3 linked regions of the Canis lupus familiaris genome follow. The protein of the gene in region 1 interacts with the protein of each later gene in a pairwise test. Links are inferred from orthologs where the notes say so. Each region holds a gene or a part of one and is shown in the gene's direction. Other genes may lie near its edges. The genes, in order: PRAM1, SKAP1 and CCDC57.

The links.
Region 2: the proteins of PRAM1 (region 1) and SKAP1 interact in binary tests that used the Homo sapiens proteins (3 or more experiments, as listed by UniProt). The two-hybrid records come from large-scale screens. The link is inferred for Canis lupus familiaris from reciprocal best matches to the Homo sapiens genes PRAM1 and SKAP1.
Region 3: the proteins of PRAM1 (region 1) and CCDC57 interact in binary tests that used the Homo sapiens proteins (3 or more experiments, as listed by UniProt). The two-hybrid records come from large-scale screens. The link is inferred for Canis lupus familiaris from reciprocal best matches to the Homo sapiens genes PRAM1 and CCDC57.

Annotation. Positions count from the first base shown.
Region 1 is NC_049241.1:53,443,586-53,448,753, reverse strand, and holds part of PRAM1 (PML-RARA-regulated adapter molecule 1), read left to right. Parts: intron 1-733; coding exon 734-1,946; intron 1,947-2,025; coding exon 2,026-2,092; intron 2,093-2,165; coding exon 2,166-2,242; intron 2,243-4,769; coding exon 4,770-4,824; intron 4,825-4,943; coding exon 4,944-5,052; intron 5,053-5,168. UniProt on the Homo sapiens protein: May be involved in myeloid differentiation. May be involved in integrin signaling in neutrophils. Binds to PtdIns(4)P.
Region 2 is NC_049230.1:24,647,926-24,654,836, reverse strand, and holds the start of SKAP1 (src kinase-associated phosphoprotein 1), read left to right. Parts: upstream 1-2,779; 5' UTR 2,780-2,942; coding exon 2,943-2,988; intron 2,989-6,911. UniProt on the Homo sapiens protein: Positively regulates T-cell receptor signaling by enhancing the MAP kinase pathway. Required for optimal conjugation between T-cells and antigen-presenting cells by promoting the clustering of integrin ITGAL on the surface of T-cells.
Region 3 is NC_049230.1:948,938-955,959, forward strand, and holds the start of CCDC57 (coiled-coil domain-containing protein 57), read left to right. Parts: upstream 1-2,993; 5' UTR 2,994-3,130; intron 3,131-6,107; exon of another isoform or gene 6,108-6,939; intron 6,940-7,022. UniProt on the Homo sapiens protein: Pleiotropic regulator of centriole duplication, mitosis, and ciliogenesis. Critical interface between centrosome and microtubule-mediated cellular processes. Centriole duplication protein required for recruitment of CEP63, CEP152, and PLK4 to the centrosome.

The DNA of each region.
Region 1 (5,168 bases):
CACAGGGAGTGGAGAGTACTGGGAAGAGAAAATCAATTTTTTTAATAGGGGTGGTCTGGGAGGGAGGCCTCCCTAAAAAGAAAATACCAGCAGAGAACTGGAGGCGCAAGAGGCAAGAAGCAGGCCATAGGGAGAACTGCCTGGGACTAGGGGCAGGAGAAAGAAGAGCTGGGGTGGGAGAGAGTGGGGGAGAGGAGACCAGCCCAAGGTGACTGGGTACAGGAGGCGGTTCGGTGATCTAGGGCCTTCATGAGGTCTTTAGCTTTTACCATGGGGAAATGAAGGAACGTTGCCAGATTTTGAGCAGAGGGGCTTCCTCTGGCTGCTGTGTGGGAGGGGCCTGGACAGAGATGGGGATGGGGGGTGGGGGGGACGACAACATGGGGGAGGAGCCTGAGTTCCTCCAGCCAGCATGACAGTGGTACAGGCAGTGAGAAGTGGTTGGATTCCAGATGTATTTTGAAATCAGAAGAGAAGGCACTAGGGATACGGAGCATGAAAGCACACGGTTATCTCAAGGACACTGAGAGGGAGGCTGTGGGAGCAGCAGCCTATGGGGGAGCAGCAGGAGCCCGGGTCCTAATGGGGGTGAGGCTGGGGCATATGCAGTGCCTAAGTGGTGAGGTCAGGACTCCAGGGAGCCTGGAAACAAATGTGAGGGTCCTCAGCCAAGGGCAAAGGCTGGCAACGAGGAGCTAGGAGAACCCTGCCTGACTGGCTCTATGTCCCTTAGGGGAGCCATCAGGACTTCCGGAGCCTTCAAGCAAAGTTCCAGGCCTCTCAGCTCGAGACCAGCGAACTCCCCAAAAAACCCCCAAAGCCTGAGTTCAACAAACTCCTAAAGAAGTTTCCACCACCCGAGCTAAGCGAGCACCCCAAGAAGCCCCCACAGCCAGAGTTCCACACAGTACCCAAGAAGCCCCCACAGCCCCCTTGCACCGATCTCCCCAGAAAGCCCTCCAAACCTGAGTTGAGTGAGCCCTCCAAAAAGTTCCCACAGTTCGAGACCCCTCAGAAACCCCCACGGCCTGAGCCTAGCAGGCCCCCACTGGAGCCCAAGCCCAGTGCCTTCCCTAAGAAGCTCCAGCAGCTGGAGCCCAATGGGACCACCCCAGAGCCTTCACAGCCCGACTTTAATACCCTTCCCAAGAAGCCCCCTCAGCCCGACCTCAGCGTGAACCCTAGAAAGGCCCTGCAGTCTGAGGTCAGTGGCCTCCCTAAGAAATCCCTGCCACAGCCTGAATTCAATGAGGTCCCTCAGACGCCCCCCTGGAAGTTAGAGTCCAATGAGCACCCGCCCCACTGCTCAGAGCCCGACTTCAGTACGTTTCCCAGAAAGATCCCAGCCCCTCAGCTGAGTGATCTCCCCAAGAAGCTCCTGCACCCTGATTTTGGTGACCTCACCAGGAGGTCCTCAGAGCCTGAAGTCAGTGTGTTTCCCAAGCGGCCACGGCAGTCTGAATTCAAAGCACCCTCCAAGAAGCTCCTGCAGCCTGAGCTGGGGGCCCTCACCAGGGTGTCCTCAGAGCCCGAGTTTGGCCTCCTCCCCAGGAAGTTCCTGCAGCCTGAATGCCAGCAGCCCCCTCGAAAGTTCTCACAGCCCGAGCCCAGTGCTCTGCCCAAGAAGCACCTGCACACGGAGTTCTTTGGTGATCTCCCTAAAAAGCCCCCACTCCCTGGCTCCGTCTCAGAGAGCTCACTCCCCGCTGCTGTGGCGGGCTCCCGCCCCAGGCTCCCATTCAGCCCTGGCTTTGGAGCCAGGGAGCAGAGATCAGGAGCTCGCTCTCACAGTGGAGGCTCGAGGCTGGGCCTCCAGCCTGGCCACCCACCCCGGCGGAGGCCTCTGCCCCCAGTAAACAGCCTAGGCCCCCCCCCAGCCAAGCCCCCACTGCCCCCTGGCCCCAGGGATGTCCAGAGCTTCCGAAGAGCCGCAGCCGCAGCCACAGGTAGGTCACAGCAGCCTCCGCAAAAAGCTGGGAAGGTAAAGGCAGGGCCTGCCTCCCTCCCGCTCTCCTCCTTCCACAGCTCTGAGGAGGACCCGTTCTTCTGCTGGGATCCACCTCCAAGCCCGACAGACTCAAGACATCCTGCAGTGAGTGTGGGGAGTTAGTGGGTCCTGGCGCAGGTTTAAGGCTGAAAGAGGCCCTCATCTCAGGTTCCTACAGGGACCCGGACGAGGCCTATGAGCTGTATGACGACGTGGAGCCCACGGACAACTCCAGCCCCAGTCCCATGGGCAGAGGTTTGTTGGTGGTGGGGCTGAGCCCTCAGCCAGAGCATCCTGCCCAGGCACCCGGGGACCATTCATTGCAAGGGCACATTCTTCCATGCTGTTGCGGCAAATCTGAGGGACAGTCCGTCTCCCTGGCAGTGCCAGGGGAGAAAGTGGAGGGCAGGAAGGGCCTTTTAGAAAGGCCATGCCAGCTCCTGACACAACAGTAGAGGTAGGGCAGCCCAGAGGCCAACACCAGTGAACGTACTGTGGCCACGGCAGGGGTGTGGCCCAGGGTGGTGGCAGGCGGCATTACAGAGCAGTGGAAGAATCAGAAAGAGGATTTGGTGGCATGTGATGCAGGGGCGAGAGGGAGCAAGTGAGCCCATGACACGGATGAGGCCCAAGTCAAGCTTGACACTTGGGTGCAGAGAGGAGGTATCCCTGAGTCGGGGACAAGGTGTCAGGTTCCATAGTAGACTTGTTGCACTGGAGGCGCTTGCTGGATGTCCAGGCAGGACTTGGGCCTCAACTGAGGCATGGGCTGTAGACGGAGACCCTGAGCCTGCAGTCCTAGACACTCTGTGCTCAGGTTCCTGAGGACCTTTCTTTCTCCCTTCTTCCAAGTCTCTGCTCCCAGAGAGCAGGATAATGGCAAAGCAGACCCGTCTCCAGCCCTGCTATAGGTTAATGCTTTCACCATTTTTTTTTGGGGGGGGGGGGGGGGGGAGTGACTTTCATGCAAGCCCTGTATGTGAACATCACTGAACATGTACAGCCACCCCCCACCCCCAAGGCAACAGCATGCCCTTTTACAGAGGTGGAAGCCTGAGAACCCCAGAAGCAACTTGCCCCAGTTCACACAGCCGGCAGACAGGAGCCCAGGCCCTGTGCTCTCAAGACTTCCCTGCCCTATCTTTGGAAGGGCTTCCTACAGGGCAACCTTTTATTAAGGGTGGTGCCTTTGGGATGCTCCGCGCCTCCCCCCACCCCCCCCACCCCACCCCCGCCCCGCTCAGCCCCAACACCAAGTCTGCTGCCTGTACTACTCTTTCCCAAGCCCCTTCTGCTTCTCCTGGGCTTTCCTCAGGGGCTGCTTACAAAACTGTCTTAGTAGAGCTTCCTGACAAGGCTCCTCCTGCTTCCGCTCTACTGAGGCTCTTGTGGCTGGGGTCTGGGGGGCCAGTCTTGGAGAGGGACGTGGGGAAAGAGGCAGTTAGCTTCCAGCAGCCTTGAAGGTATGCCCCCCCCCACTCTTCCCCAATCCCCAAACAGACCAAGAACATCCCGACTTCTGCTCACTGTCCCTGCCAGTGGAAAATCATCTCCCCATTCCATGCCAGTCATTCTGCAAGACTCCAACAAAATACACTTCTCAAATCTCTCCCTTCTTGAAATACTATGTGGGTCCTCACTGGTAATACGCTGTCCCAAAGGCTACTTTGTACTCTTCTAGTCCAACCTCCCACTCTGCCCTACTTGGGAATGGTAGCAGCCCGACCCCAGAGGTTCCTTCCACAGCTGGGAGCTCTCCTGGAAGGGGCTGGGGCCAGCACACGTAGCTCTTTCTCAGATCTCAATAGGTCACCCTTAGAACCTCCCTTACCTATGTGCCTGATTAGGGTCACACTGCCAGAAATTTGGGCTGCAGGTGTGCCAGGTCTGTCCTGTGCCACAGTGCACAGGGGCATGCTCTACCCCGTGGTGGGTTATAGGGGTCCTGGGGTGCCTCTGGGAGAAGCAGGAGCAGTTGGAGGGAATATCCTGGATGAAACTGGAGATGGCATCATCATCTGAGCACCAGGATGTGGCTGGAGTCTGGAGCAAAAAGCCAGAGGCTTCAGGCTTCAGGTTCTAGATCCTTCACTCAACTGGTATTCATGAGGCTCTCGTAAGCCAAACCCCAGGGCCAGCAGGCTCCTACGTGGAATGCTGGCAGGTTGCCAGAAGTCCGCACTCACGGGGGGAGACCCCTCACAATAGTCCCAGCAGCAGCCAGGCCAGTCCATGAACCCCACCCCATCAGCCCCTTCTCAGACACCCACTTCATTTGCTCTAGGAAATGCCTTTGCCTTATTTTTTACCTAAATCCTAGGACAATCCCCAGAAGCCAAGCTATTCTAAAAGACAGACATGAAATGGCCTCAAAAGCCTGCAAATAAATCCTGCCTTTATCATTTCCAGCCAGATGACCTTGGAGCAGGACTGCTTTACTACTCAGAGCCTTTATTTCCCTCATCAGGGAGCTGGGAATGACAGTATTACCTATTATCCTAAGTAATAAGGTCGCTATGAGGGTTAAGTGAGTTCCTGCAGTAAGCAGTTTCTGCTACACCTACCATGCAGCAGTTCAGAAAACAAAGGCAATGCACTAGAACTCACAACCCCCAAGAAAGGCCTCCGGGGAAGACGGACAGTTGGCAGGGTGGGGGTTGGGAGGGAATGGATGTCCTAAAAACTGACATAGGAAAGGCTCATTCAAGATCAAGTCACCAGTGTCAAGAGGGAGGCTGAGCCAACAGTCCCTGCCCTAACTCAGCGCTCTGACTGCTCCCAGATGAAGTGCCATTTACCCAGCAACCCCCCAGGCCACCACAAGATCCAGAACTCAGGTAGGGGGGGCGGTCATCAGCCCGCCAAGGGCATGGAAGAGGGAGGGACTGAGCTCTGGGCAGACAGGAAGGGGGCCCCTGGGAAGCACACCTTGTTCAGGAGTATCCCAATTCCTCAGGAAGGAGAAGGCTCCCCAGCCACAGCAGTTGCCACCCACAGACCTGAAGTCCCTGAAGCAGATCCGGAAGGCAGAGAAAGCGGAGAGGGAGTTCCGGAAAAAGTTCAAGGTGTGAACACCAGAATCCTCTAAACAAGAGCCCTGGGAGATCTGGGCACAGCCCCAATTGACCAAGACCCCACATATTCCATCCTCAGAAAGAAGCTGGGGTTCCTGGGGGGACAG
Region 2 (6,911 bases), on another chromosome or scaffold:
GATGCTAAGATCTTGCTGGAATTGGGGCTGGGGGAGGGGAAGATGAGGGAGGCAGACAGAACTGGGATTTGTGTATTCTGCTCCATCCCCCTGCCTGTGTGCAGAGACAGCTGGCTGCTTACTTCCATGACAGCCACATGGTACCCAGCCACACAGAATCGGACCTGGGCAGGGACTCGCCTGCTGCCAACCTCTCCAGATCCCTTTGATATTTCCGACAGAGCAGTAAAGGACTCTTGACTATCACGTTTTGCCTTGCCTCTCTCCACCTTCTCAAAGACTCCTCGGTGTGGTTTCCATGGCTACCCCCAATCAGATTTGGCTTCTTGCGAAATTGGATTTCAAAGAAGGACAAGGCTTCAAAGGAATTTGTCCATTTAACAGAATGTCATTAGGAGTAAGGCTGACTGCTGAACCAGGGTCCTCAGATGATTAAGGAGGGGCCGCGCTCATGTGTGGAGGCAGGTTTCTGTCTGCAATGAGGAAACTTGATGCAACATGACAATGCCGTATTGCAATCTGCCAGTCACCCACCTCATACTACCCAACTCTGCACCTCTCTCTCCCCCTGTCTGAGACCCAGAACGGTTGTAGAATACCTATGCCTCTAGTTACTGCTGCTTCTTTTGGTATAAGTAAGCTCTGCAGGCAGTGAGGCCTGAGAGGACACAAGATTACCTGAGTTCATTGCTCTTTACCAAACAACTCATTAGCTTGTGGCCTATATTAGCATTTGACAGATATCCTTGGAGAAGAGGGGGAGGTTGTCAAATTTCCTCCCACTGCTGAGAGGGAAAGCAAGACAAAGTGCTGGGGTTACATAGAGGAGGGACTTTGTTTCCCTTGCTGTTTCTTAGAAGAGCTTCAGATTCACGGAAAAATTACCATGCAGGTACAGAGAGCTCTGGTATATCCTCCCTGGCTTTTTAACACGTCATAAGTACTCAAAAAATTCTTTGAGAGCAGTTACAATTCTATAGAAGGAGCAGTTGAGTATGATAAAAATGCCCTAGCAGGGACCTGGTATTTGCTCCCGAGTCTAGAGAAGGCAGCTTGTCTATTGTTAACTTTTCCAGAGCAAGAAGGAGCAGCAGTAGGAGCCAGAGTCCCCAGAGACACCCTTCCTGCCCCAGCCCCTGTCTCTCCACCCCCAGCCCAATTTGCTACAACTTGTGGATGGATCATGTGATCCTGGAACCAAGGGACCATTCCTCTTCAGATTGCAGGATGTGGACATGTAAAGATAGTCATTACAAGCCTACATTACAAAGCCACTGCACCCCTTAAAGGATCAAGCCCCCAACCTTGGGAAACTATGCCAGGAGGCAGGCAGTGCCACTCCCTGTCCTTCTGGACAGTTTCTCCTTATGGCTTCCATCCCCAAATCCGTGGTTCCATCAACATTTTCCCCTGAGGCTGCTGTAAAAAACCACTCACCCATCTTCCCTGTGTTCTCTCTCCCTCACTGCTTTCAATCCTTCCCACATATTCTTGTTGTATGCAAGAATCTGAGACTAGAAACTCCATTTTTTATAAAGAAGGAAAATGTGAAATGTGCAAGATCACACAACTACACAGGTCACATGCCACAGCTCAAAACTTGTCAATGTCTCCCCAGTTGAGTTCAAAATCCTCATTCTGACTTTCAAGTCCCTTTACAATAAGACTTCACGTTTTCTTGACAGCCATGATTTCCCTATACCATCCAGTAAAAGGGTTATTCGCTGTTCCTCAAGCAAAAGGTTTTTCCATCTTTTTTTATTCTGTTCTTTCCACCTGAAAAGCCCTCCTGCCCCTTCCAAGCCTGGTGTGTTCAGGGCCCATCTTGAATGTCATATGCACCATTAAACACATATGCACCCACACTTCTCTCCTTTTTTAAAAAAATATATTTGTCTCCCTCCTTTTACGCTCATGGCACTTTCTGCTTTCATGGCACTTGGTTTATTGAGCTTAAAAAACTCCACAAAGGTTTTTGAGGTCACTGAGATTCACAGAAGTTAAAAGAAATGATACAGAGCGATCCTCTCTACCCCTTCCTTACTCGTTTCCACCAGTGGTAACATCTTGCAATACTACAGTTTCAGATCGCAAGCAGGATAGGGACCCATACTGTATTTTGGAGGAGGGGAGGAGAACACTTCTGTGATCTCCCGTTCTTCACTTTCCTCCCTTTGCCAGCTGTTAGAGGCAAAAGGCTGGCGTCCTCTCTCCCCCCCGCCTTCTTCGGGGTTACCCCATCCTTTCCTGGCATCCTTACAGCCTTAGGGAGGGACACTGGCTCCCTGTATCCGCTGCAGCCGCGCCGCTCCGCTCCTCCCCAGTGTTGGTGGCTTTATTATTTGAGACCTGCAGCCGTTCCTTTGAGACAGGGGTTTGCCCGAGATAGTGGACGTTCTGCCCCGTTTTCTGGGCGTGGACGTGCGAGCCGGATCGGGAACTGCTTGCCGCGGGGCTCGGCGGGGACGGCCTCCCCGCGTTCTGCGGCTCCGCGCCCCACTCCGGGCACCACCGTGGCTTTGGGACGCGTCCCTTGAGGCCCACCGGCCAGTACTTAGGGTAGAAAGTGTCCCAGGAGATGAAGTTCCTTTGGGCCGCGTTTAGTCTTTTGTTCCGGTGCGGGGAGAAGGGGTGGCTGTGCGGCTCCCCGCCCCCCAGTGCTTCCACCTGCGGGCGCCGCGGGAGTGGCGCGGGCACCCGCGCACAGGTGTTCCCCCCAACACCGCCCGGGGCGCGCCCCCCGCCCGCCGCGCGCGCCACTTCCTGAGCGCGCCCCGGGCCCGCGGCCCCGCCCTGCGGCCAGGCCGGGCTGCCGCAGCAGCGGCGACAGAGGTACAGGTGCCTCCGCCGGAGACAGCCGCCTGCCAGCCCGCGGGCTTTGGCTCCAGGCCTTCACGGCCGCTCTCCCGCCTCACACTCCGGCCTCCCCGCAGCCCGGCCAAATGCAGGCCGTCGCCCTCCCCGAGGAGATCCGTTGGCTCATGGAAGGTAACGCCCTGGCCCGGCCCCAGGCCCCCCTCCCGGCCCCCTGGGAAGTCCCGCAGGTGCAGAGCTGGAGGCCCGAGCCGAGACCCAGGGGCTCCCAAGACCGGCCTCTCTTTTCGGCTCCATCATCCACAGCCTTCCAGAACCTCAAGACTGCTGGAACCCTCAACTCTGCAGACCCAGATTTCATCCTGTCCGCTCAGGGTCCCATTCACTCCCCCTCAGTTCCACATTTTTCTTTTTCTTTTCTTTTCTTTTCTTTTCTTTTCTTTTCTTTTCTTTTCTTTTCTTTTCTTTTCTTTTCTTTTCTTTTCTTTTCTTTCTTTTTTTTCTTTTCTTTTCTTTTCTTTTCTTTCTTTCTTTCTTTCTTTCTTTCTTTCTTTCTTTCTTTCTTTCTTCTTTCCTTTCTTTTCTTTCCTTTCTTTCCTCTTTTTAAAGATTTTATTCATGAGAGACACACAGAGAGAGGTAGAGACACAGGCGGAGGGAAAGCAGGCCCCATGCAGGGAGGCTGATGTGGGACTCGATCCCAGGACTCCAGGATCATGCCTCCAGCAGAAGGCAGACGAGCCACCCCGGCGTCCCCACATTTTATTTCTTCCTCGAGGCATCTCCACCCACCCTCCACTTCACCTTCCAGGCTTCTGAACAACGTCTGGCCAGGTTCTTGGCAGGGGGGGGGGGCCTCCATGCGACCTTGCATGGTCTTTGGCCAGACCCTTTCTCCTCGGGACAGTACCCCGACGCCTGTGGGGTTTTGCCTTTCCTCCCTCCCCAGCCCCGAAGCCCCTCACCTTCTTGCTCCAGGTCCTCGAGGCTCTCGGGGGCTGTGAGGGGCTCGAGGGGCTCGTGGGATGCTGTTGGCCAAGGCCTGGGGCTAAGTGTGAGTTTTGTCGGTGCCGAAGGCCCCAGCCTCCTTTTGCCAGCCTGCAGACTTCTGCGGGTCTTGCTGTCTACCCAGGGCAGGTGGATGCAGTATTAAGTTTCTAACTCTTCTAGAAATGCCCCACACTGGTGTGTTTACCTTCAAACTATGGTGCCTAAGCAGTCCTTTTAAGAGTTAAGGCCATATTCAGCAACACTCCACAGATGCTTCTAACACTGGAAAGAGACTTTTTGCTAATGGGCAATATCTCCAGCTCCATTCACACTGCTTTCTGGCAAAAGTGATTTGCTTTCCTGTAACTGACCTTCCTGGAAGGACAGAGGCCTGGAATCTGTCCTTGCATAAGCGTCCCAGGAGGAAACGACTCTGAATTAAGCCTTTTGGCATCCAAGTGACATTTTTGACACATATTTAACAGATGGCCTGCTTTGGGCAGGTCAGACTTTTGGCAAGGAGTTTTTTTTTTTTTTTTTTTTTTTCAGTTTCTCTCAATGTAATTGGTTTTATATCTCCATTACCTTGTTATCTTGGTATAAATGCCTCCTAATCAAATATTTGGCAGTCCTTTTGGTCTCTGTTTGTAGCACTGTTTCCATTCTGGATTGCTTCTATGTAAAAGCTGTCAACGAGGTATTTCTTTTGAGGTGAAGTTTCCAAAATCCACTTTACTTATATGACCCGAGTAAATCTAAACTTTCAGAGTAGAAAAGTATTTGTAGGGTGAAGCAGCATCATCTGGGTGTCTGAGAAGAAGCAATCCAGCCTCTCTTTCTGCCATTGGTTCAATATTGTATGTTGAATGTAAAGAGAGACTCAAAGTGTGATGGTTTCTGGGAGAGAAGGAACTGTGGCAAAAAATGTAATTCTGCCCTTGTGTTTAAAAATATAAAGTGATTATTTTTATTGGTATCTGTCATTTGATGAGAGGAAACCTATTTTACCAGCTTGTTAAACTATACTTCCGTTTTGTGTGCAGCTTTAGTAGGAAATTCTTTTTTATTTTCAGAGGCTTGCAATGAAATACACTCCTTCAACATTTTTGATGTGCAGTTCTTTATTGTTCAAAACTGACACTTTGGTAAACAACTCATTTCTGTACCTGCCACCTTCCTTTAGCTTAGATTATTTTCTTGTTAGCTGACTGTTTTTAATTGAAGTCTTCAGATCTCCTTCTAAAGCAGAACCTTTGTTTGCTGACAAGTAGAGCAGGGTATGAATGGAGATTAATTGCATGTCACATACTTCTGTGTCAAACTTGCTGTGTCTTAACAATCTGTGTTGGTGCCTGGGTCTTTAGAATCTATAGAGGAGTCTGAGATTAAATTTTAAGGAGCTTCGTTGGTTAATGTATTTCTTTAAGGCCTTTTTTTTAAAGTTTGCAATTAGAATCTGAATCTGAAGGAGAGGGGGGATTCCAACCAATAATTCTATTGAAAAATGTTTGAGGACTATGTTTTTGAAAGGTTCATGTAATCATAACACATTGGTTATAGGTTTGTTTTTTTTTAATGATATATAGTCTCTGGTGTAGACCAACAGAATTATTCATTATACTACAAATAATCTGTGGATATTAGAAACCCATAATGACTTTCAATTTATTGTCTGTTGCTGTGTACTTGTCTCCCCACCACACACACTTTTTAAGGTTAACTGTTGACAATTAGAAAATATGTAGGTCCTGATCTCTATATTGTCACTCAGTGGAGAAAGTCACAGGGTGAGAGAGCTGCCACTTTAGTGCTGCCACATGGTTGTGGGGGTGGAGTTTCCACAATGAATTACTACTTTCATAAACCAAGGCATAAGCATTCGCATGGTGATTTAACGCTGGCCATCACGGCCATAACTTAAGCATTTATTTATTTATAACTACATGAACAGAAATGACAGGGGTGTTTTTTGACATAATATGTGTGCTTTTAAAAATAAAATATGCAAAGCATTATGAAAGGTTTATGCCAAAATTTTGCATAATGAAGAAAGGAACAGAAATGTTGAAGGTCTAAAATTAATTTTAAGGATAAAATTTTAAACATTTGAAAATGTTTCATTTGACCTAGAAACTCCACTTCTGGGAATCTATGTTACTGAATTTAAAGGACATGAAGTATATATGTACAAGGATCCATCTTAAATGTCCAGGAGTTGGGAAAGGCAGGGCAATGGTATGAATGAATTATCCATCTTATGGAATATTTTGCAGTCATTAAAAAGAATGTGATAGGTCTGTATGTATTGGCTTGGAAAGTGTCCATATTTTTAAGACTAATAATATATACAATCCATTTTTGTTTGAAAACAAGAAAGTGAACCAACTCCTCCCTCCCATATATTATATATATTTTTTATAAGCCTGGGAAGAAGTAAGACTATACACCTAGCTGTTAACATTGTTTCTTTGGGAGGAAAATGAGAGGATGGGAGAGGCAGACATTATTACTTTTGTTTCATACATCTTCATGTTGTTGGAACTGTGACAATGACCATGTATTATTTTTGTTAATCAGATAAACAACTAGTAGGGTTATTTAAAAGAAAAAGGTACAAAAGACAAATAGAAGCTTGGAGAGGTCATAGTGGTCTAGAGCGCTAAAGGACCATTCACCAAGGTTATGATTATGTTTTTCCCTTGTTAGCGCTGGGAGTGGAGTGTGTGGAAGTGTTTTTTTTTTGTTTTGTTTTATTTTGTTTTGTTTTTTAACATCTTCTTGGCTATTTGGCTAATATTAAAAGAGCAGGAGTACTTTAAGAGTAACTCAGGAAACAGCTTCCTCAGATTCTGTCAAGCTCTCTTATAGAAATAGTAACTAGTCCATATCAGCAAATAACTACCTTCCAGATAAGTAAAATAAAAGGTGTTTACTGCCTTATTGAAAGAGGAGGAAATATTCAGGTCTGTTTTCAAATTATCAGCCTTCAGATGTAGAAGCTATCTTTTTGTTTTTGTTTTGTGATAACCATACTGAAAACAAAAACAATGGAGTGCTGGCAGTTTGCATAATCTTCATTCCACAGATATAAATACAGTTTCTTTCTT
Region 3 (7,022 bases), on another chromosome or scaffold:
CACCAGCTCCCCAGGTGCCACCTTCCGGGGAAACAGGGTCGCTGTGGCTGCGGACGGTTCAGACGAGGTCACCTGGGAGCAGGTGGGCCCTCGTCCGGTATGACTGGCGTCCTTATGAACAGAACAGCATGGGGGGACGGCGACATGGGGAACAGGCCAGGTGCCCGCGGAGGCAGCTGTGGGGAGCAGGTGAACACCGGGGCTGGGGGGGCTTCTCTCTGGGCCTCCAGAGAAGCACAGCCCGGCCCCACGTCCCTTCAGACTGGGGCCTCCAGAACTGTTTTCTGAAGCACCCACTTGTGATCTGTTACGGCAGTGCCAGGACACGGGCACCCACCCTGTTGTCAGCAGCGGGGACGCTGCCGGGAGGCCCAGGGCGGGCAGGTGGCACTCTGAGCGCGGGAGGGGCCGCTGTGATCTGCTCTTCCGGGAGCGCACGGGGTCTGGCCCGAGCGTCGGCGCTGGCCTCGTTGGGGTCACTGGGTGGGGGTCGCTGGGCATCGGCGCTGCCGCCGGTGGGGTCACTGGGTGGGGGTTCTGGGCATTGGCGCTGGCCTTGGTGCTCTGAGGAGCCCCTGGAGGAGGGGGGAGGGCGGGCTCCAGGTTGGAGGTCACTATGCTGCTTAGATGAGTGAGGGATGAGCAGTGAGGGGCCTGAGGCGGGCAGGGGTGGCCACTGCTGAGAGGGGCCCCGGCCAGCCAGGGGCAGAGGCCATGGAAGGGCTCTGCACGCCTGACTCTGGTGGCCAGGATGTCCCTTCCTCTGCCCACAGACATGTCCTGGGTCACTGGGCATGGGGCACGGATAAGGAGCCCCAGGGACACAAGAGCGCAGACCTCAGAGGGGCCGTGGGGACTGGCCATGTGTGGGGAGGGCCCTGGCAGGGTGGCGAAGGCCCAGGCTCTTGGCAGGGCCCACTACGGCCCCTGCCATTTTGTTGGCTGTGTGCCACGCAAGGGGAGGCAAGTGCTGCACCTCTCTGGGCCTGACAGCCTCGAAGCCTTCCCTGGGATCCTGGTGAGCAGGTCACAAGTTGTGGGGTGGGTGGGGCGAGGAAGGCACATGTCCCACCCCAGGGCAGTAGGAGCTGGCCTTGCCCCGAGAAGCAAGGCCATGCTGTCCCTGTGGTTAGCATTGGCGCCATCAGCAGTGCTGGCTGGGGGGCTGAGGATGGCGAGGAATGGAGCTCTGGCTGTTAGGATTTGCTCCCGTTGAAACAGGCGGGTCCCCTAGGCCCCTCCCGGGGGCTGAGCCAGGACCTGACCCTCCAAGCACCAGGGAAGGGAGCATGTCCTCCCACCGTATGCAGAAGCAAACCAAGTGCTGGAGAGATATCGGACAGGAGGGGGCCAGGATCGAAGCCTGGCTCTGTGACAGCAGGTTGCCCTGGTCCGGAGGCCACTCCGGGATGCAGGTTAAAGGCTATGGGGACCCCGGGCTGCACCTCCAGGCCAGCCCGCTACGATCACTTGGTTTCTGTGCAGGATGTGAGATCTTCCATTTTTCATGAGGCTTGAATTATTGATCTGCTTCATATTTAATAACTCCTGGACCTCCCTCCAGGAGCAGAGCCTGGATTAGGGCGTGGGTCCAGCCCTGGCAGGACCCGCTTGGGGACCGGCCCCGGGGAGCCAGCGAGCCCCTGGGGTGGAGGAAACACAGGAGGGGTGACGCAGGCCACAGGTGAGTGTCCCACCAGGCTCTGCCAGGTGGGGGCTGGGCATGCGTTCTGTCCCCGCTTACTGCCAGGCCAGCGAGGAGGCCCTCAGGGGCTCCCCAGAGCTGTCCCGGAAGGAGCAGCAGGGCCTGGCCCGCCTCTGGGAGGCAGGCTGCCTACAAGGGCGATTTGGCTTTGTTTTCCACTTATGTTTGAGCACAAAGGCAAAAGCGCACAAGTTAGGAGAGCGAACTGATGGATTCTCCGCACCACACGCAACACACGGTGCGACCTCCGCAGGACGAGAGGCTGCTGGAGCCACCCGCCCCCCCCAAGGCCCATGCACGGTGCTGGGGGGGCACGGACCCCGCCCCACTGCCGCCCCCGATCGACCCTCCCCCCCCGTCCCCCGCAGCCCCGGCCCCGCCTATGGACACCTCCCCCACCGTGCAGCCCCGGGTACCCCGCTCCCCTTCCCCGGTGCAGCCCGGCCCCACCCCCGCGTACCCAGCCCCCCATGTTGCCCCGCCCCCTGGACCCGCCCCCGTGCAGCCCCAGCCCCCACCCCGTGCAGCCCCGCCCCCTGTGCAGCTCCGCCCCCCCACGGCCCCGCGCCCAGTGCAGCCCTAACCGCCCCCGTGTAGCCCTGTCCCTACCCCGTGCAGCCCCGCCCCCGCCCCGCCCCCCGTGCGGCCCCAGCCCCCACCCCGTGCAGCCCCGCCCCCTGTGCAGCTCCGCCCCCCCACGGCCCCGCGCCCAGTGCAGCCCTAACCGCCCCCGTGTAGCCCTGTCCCTACCCCGTGCAGCCCCGCCCCCGCCCCGCCCCCCGTGCGGCCCCAGCCCCTACCCCGTGCAGCCCCGCCCCCGCCCTGCCCCCCCGTGCGGCCCCAGCCCCTACCCCGTGCAGCCCCGCTCCCCCGGCCCCGCTCCCCGTGCAGCCCCAGCCCCTACCCCGTGCAGCCCCGCCCCCGCCCTGCCCCCCGTGCGGCCCCAGCCCCTACCCCGTGCAGCCCCGCCCCCCCGGCCCCGCTCCCCGTGCAGCCCCAGCCCCCACCCCGTGCAGCCCCGCGCCCAGTGCAGCCCTAACCGCCCCCGTGCAGCCCTGCCCCTACCCCGTCCGGCCCCGCCCCCGCCCCGCCCCCCGTGCGGCCCCAGCCCCTACCCCGTGCAGCCCCGCCCCCACGGCCCCGCTCCCCGTGCGGCCCCGCCCCCCGTGCGGCCCCGGCCCCCGTAGCCCCCGCCGTCCCTCCAGTTCCGGGGACCCTCTCCCGGCGTCAGGTGGGCGGGAGTGGGCCCTCCGCCCCTTGGCGCCTGCGCGGGGCGGGTGAGAGGAGGCCGGAACCCGGCGCCGGAGCTCGCGTTTCCGGGCGGTGGGACCCGAGCGCCGCACCGAGCGCGCCGGAGCCGCGAGGGCGGACTTGGTCACCATGGCGACGCGGCGGGACGGAGGCCGGTCCCCACGGGCGTGCGCGGTGAGCCTGGGGCGCGGGGCGGGGCCGCTCCCGGGCCCAGTGACGGGGTCGTCGCCTTCCCGGGGCGGGGCGTGGCTGCGGGCCCCCCTCCCGCGAGCACCCTGCTGGCGCCCGCGGCGGCCTGCCCCACCCCGCGCGGAGGGTCGGAAGCCGGGAGGTCGGTCCGGCGGCCCGCCCAGTCGTGGAGAGATCCCCCGCGGCGCGGCGGGGTCAGGCGGGGCGGGGGGCAGCGGGGTCAGGCGGGGTCAGGCGGGGGCGGGGCGACTTGGGGTGGGACCCCGCGCTCCCGGGCCCAGGGCGCCGCCTGCCCCGCCGCTGCTCACGCACGTACTTTCCGTGTGTCCCCATTCTAAAGTTGCCATTTTTCGTTAATGATACTTCCAGGCCACGGAAATTGTTTCTTTATCTTTTTTTAAAAAAGATTTTATTTATTTATTCGTTAGCAACCGAGAGAGAGAGAGAGAGAGACCCCCAGACCGAGGGAGAAGCAGGCTCCTTGCGGGGAGCCCCACGCGGGACTCGATCCCGGGTCCCCGGGGTCATATCCTGGGCCGAGGGCGACGCCCAGCCGCTGGGCCCCCGGGCGCCCTATATATCTTGTTTCTAACCACACTTTCTATCACAAGTGTTTTCTGAAACAATTATTAATATTTTTTTTACCAATTAAGGATTTTTCTGTTTCCATTATTCTTTCCAACTAATGGAATTCTGTAAGAAAGAACCTCCCGCCCCACCCCCGTTTCTTTTAAGTAGGCTTCACACCCAACATAGGACTCGAACTCAGGACCCAGAGATCCAGAGTCACACAGGGACTCTACCGACTGAGCAAGCCGGGTGCCCCCAGCACCTTACCTTCCTCCCTTCCCCCCTCATCTCGTGTTGGTATACACGTTTTTATTTTGTTTTTATTCCACACCTGTATAATACATTGCTATAATGTATTTTGTTGCTAATTCTCCAGGTTTGGGCATTAGGAGCCCCTTCAAGTCAGCGTGTCCCCCAGCATTTCTCGGCACCGCCAGATGTTCCCCGCCCGTCCTGTGCTTTCTGGAGCAACTTCAGAATTGCCAATCCGTATTTCTATGAAAAATAGACTACTAGCTAGAGTGTAATATTTGCATACAGTTGTTTTGCTTTTATTCTTGGAATTTACAGTCAAGATTTTTTATAAGATTATTTTAGTGCATTTATGTAGGTTTTGTTGCATTATGTCAATCACTTGTTCCTGTTTGTTTTTTTTTAATTTTTTTATTTTATTTTAATATTTTATTTATTTATTCACGAGAGACACACAGAGAGAGGCAGAGACAGGCAGAGGGAGAAGCAGGCTCCATGCAGGGAGCCCGACGTGGGACTGGATCCCAGGTCTCCAGGTTCAGGTCCTGGGCCAAAGGCAGCGCCAAACCGCTGAGCCACGCAGGTTGCCCACTTGTTCCTCTTTGTATTTCGTTATGAGTCCTTACTGATTTTAAGTTTCAATGTGTGAACCATGTTCTAAAAGTCAGCAGCTCATGGGGCGCCCAGCTGGCTCAGTTGGAAGAGTGCAGCCCTTGATCCCAGGGTCATGAGTTCGAGGCCCATGTTGGGTGTAGCGATTACTTAAATAAGTAAATAAAAAGTCAGCAGCTCTCAACTGTAAGGTGATTCAGCTTCCCTTCTGCTTTTGTTCTCATTTACTCAATTTTTATTTGTTTGGTTTTTGTTATTTTTGGCAAAGGAATTTGGCAGGTGTAAATTGTAATGAAAAAGCACTGCATATCCCTCACTTTAGCGGTATCCCTTAACCCCAGCCAGTACCAGTGGTGGAATTAAGACCTGAGATTTTTTTTTTTAAGATTTTATTTATTTATTCATGATAGTCACACAGAGAGAGAGAGAGGCAGAGGAGAAGCAGGCTCCATGCACCGGGAGCCCGATGTGGGATTCGATCCCGGGTCTCCAGGATCGCGCCCTGGGCCAAAGGCAGGCGCCAAACCGCTGCGCCACCCAGGGATCCCCCTATCTGAGATTTACTTGAGATTTTACACATGGTTGTGGGTACTGTTTGGCACTCAGTGAAGTGTGAGGAAGACGGCTTGTGGTCACAGGCCCCTGATTTTCATCCCCTAGACACTACGCTGGAAGAGTACGCGTACCAGGGTTAGCTGGACGGCCCTTGTTGGGATTCCAGGGGGCGCCAGTGTTGAGTCCCGTCCTGAGTGCAGTAACAGATGAGCCCCCTCCAGACTTTCCTTCAAGTCCCACAAAAGCGTTTTGTAAATTAAGGTCACTAATTTATAGTAATTAAGCTCACGTGTTTATAGAGCAGCGAGATAGCTTTCCTTAATGAAGTAGATTTGGGTTCTCGTGCGTTAGGAACGGGGGGCTTATTAGCCGCTGAGTCCAAAGCCCAGAGCATCTGGAACCGCAGCCTTGAGGGAAAGGAGGTAAAAAGAAACCTCTGCTCAGCCAGTGTGTCCGAGTGGCTTGTTCGTCAGCGTCTGGTGACCGGCTTTTAGCCCTTTGCAAACATTCCCTTGTGTACATTGTGCACTCGGTAACTGCTTATGTTTTAATGAGGTCATGCAATGCTTTTCCAATTAAGTACTTACGAGATATTTATTGTAAAACAAATTGTTCCAAATTTTTGGTCAGGCGCATGGAGTGTGATGAACTCTCGTGTCCTATCTGCGGATTGGGTAACCCGGGTTCGTCTCTGACGTGTTTTACTCTGATGTTCGGGTCGTCTGGGGAGTGGTAGGATTTGTCAGTGGGACGAAGCATCCTGCCATAGTCCTTCCTGTCCCTCCAGCATCTTGTCCCTGGAGGCCTGCAGGAGGGGTGAGGCACCCCCAGGGCGAGGCCAGCCCCCTGCAGAGCTCCCGTGCTTGCAGAGCTCTGCACCTCCCTTTGGAGGTGGGAGGTGGGCTCACCTTTGTCTCCAGCCCTTTCCTCTTTTTTTTTTTTTTTAATTTTATTTATTTATTCATGATGGAGAGAGAGAGGCAGAGACACAAGCAGAGGGAGAAGCAGGCTCCAGGCAGGGAGCTGGGCACGGGACTCGATTCCAGGACTCCAAGATTGCGCCCCGGGGCCAAAGGCAGGTGCTAAACCGCTGAGCCACCGGGGGATCCCCTCCAGCCCTTTCCTCTTAACCGTGGTGCCAGCTGTCAGAAACACTTGGCGTGGACCCCACTTGGGGCTCTGGCAGTCTTTGGCTCTGTCCTAATTTGTGAGGACGTGTCTGAGTGTGTCACTAACCGGAGGTGCCAACTTCAGAGCCTCGGTCTCTCGTGCCCTGCCTGAGGAGTGCCAAGCCCCGAGCGTTGCCCCCCTGCCTCCCATAAGGCTGCCCCCGTGGTTGGGGTCACCCACACAGGCCCCTGGCCGGGTCGGCGAGTGAGTCCCCAGCTGCCTTAGCTCGGGGACGCAGTCGTATGTCTTACTGACGGAGGTTGCCTTCCAGATGGGGCCTCTGCGGCCTCCTCTGTCCGGGGCTGGGAGGCCATGGCCTTCGTGAGCAGTTATTTCCATCTTCCTAACACCTGGGAATTTCTAGGTGCTTTTCAGGCCTCGCAGGTCTGAAATAAGGGTTAGAAAGCTCAGTGTTTCACAAATGAGAAAGTCAGAGTGCTGCATGACGCAGCCTGGCCCTGCCCCATGCCCTGCTGGCCCCACGGGCTCTCTAGAACACCGTGAGCAGTGAGCAAAGCCGTGGTAACTGCGTGGCTCCCCCCTCTATGGGGCTCTCTGTAGTTTCCCCAGAAGTTTCATGTGGTGCCTCCTGAAACCTGGGTGCTGGCCGGGGACATCTGCTGGCTGACGGACAGGTTGGGTCCAGACTCTGAACCTATGACGTTTAAAGCTGATTAATGTCAGCCTCAGGGCTTTTAGGGTCATCTTTGGTGAGATT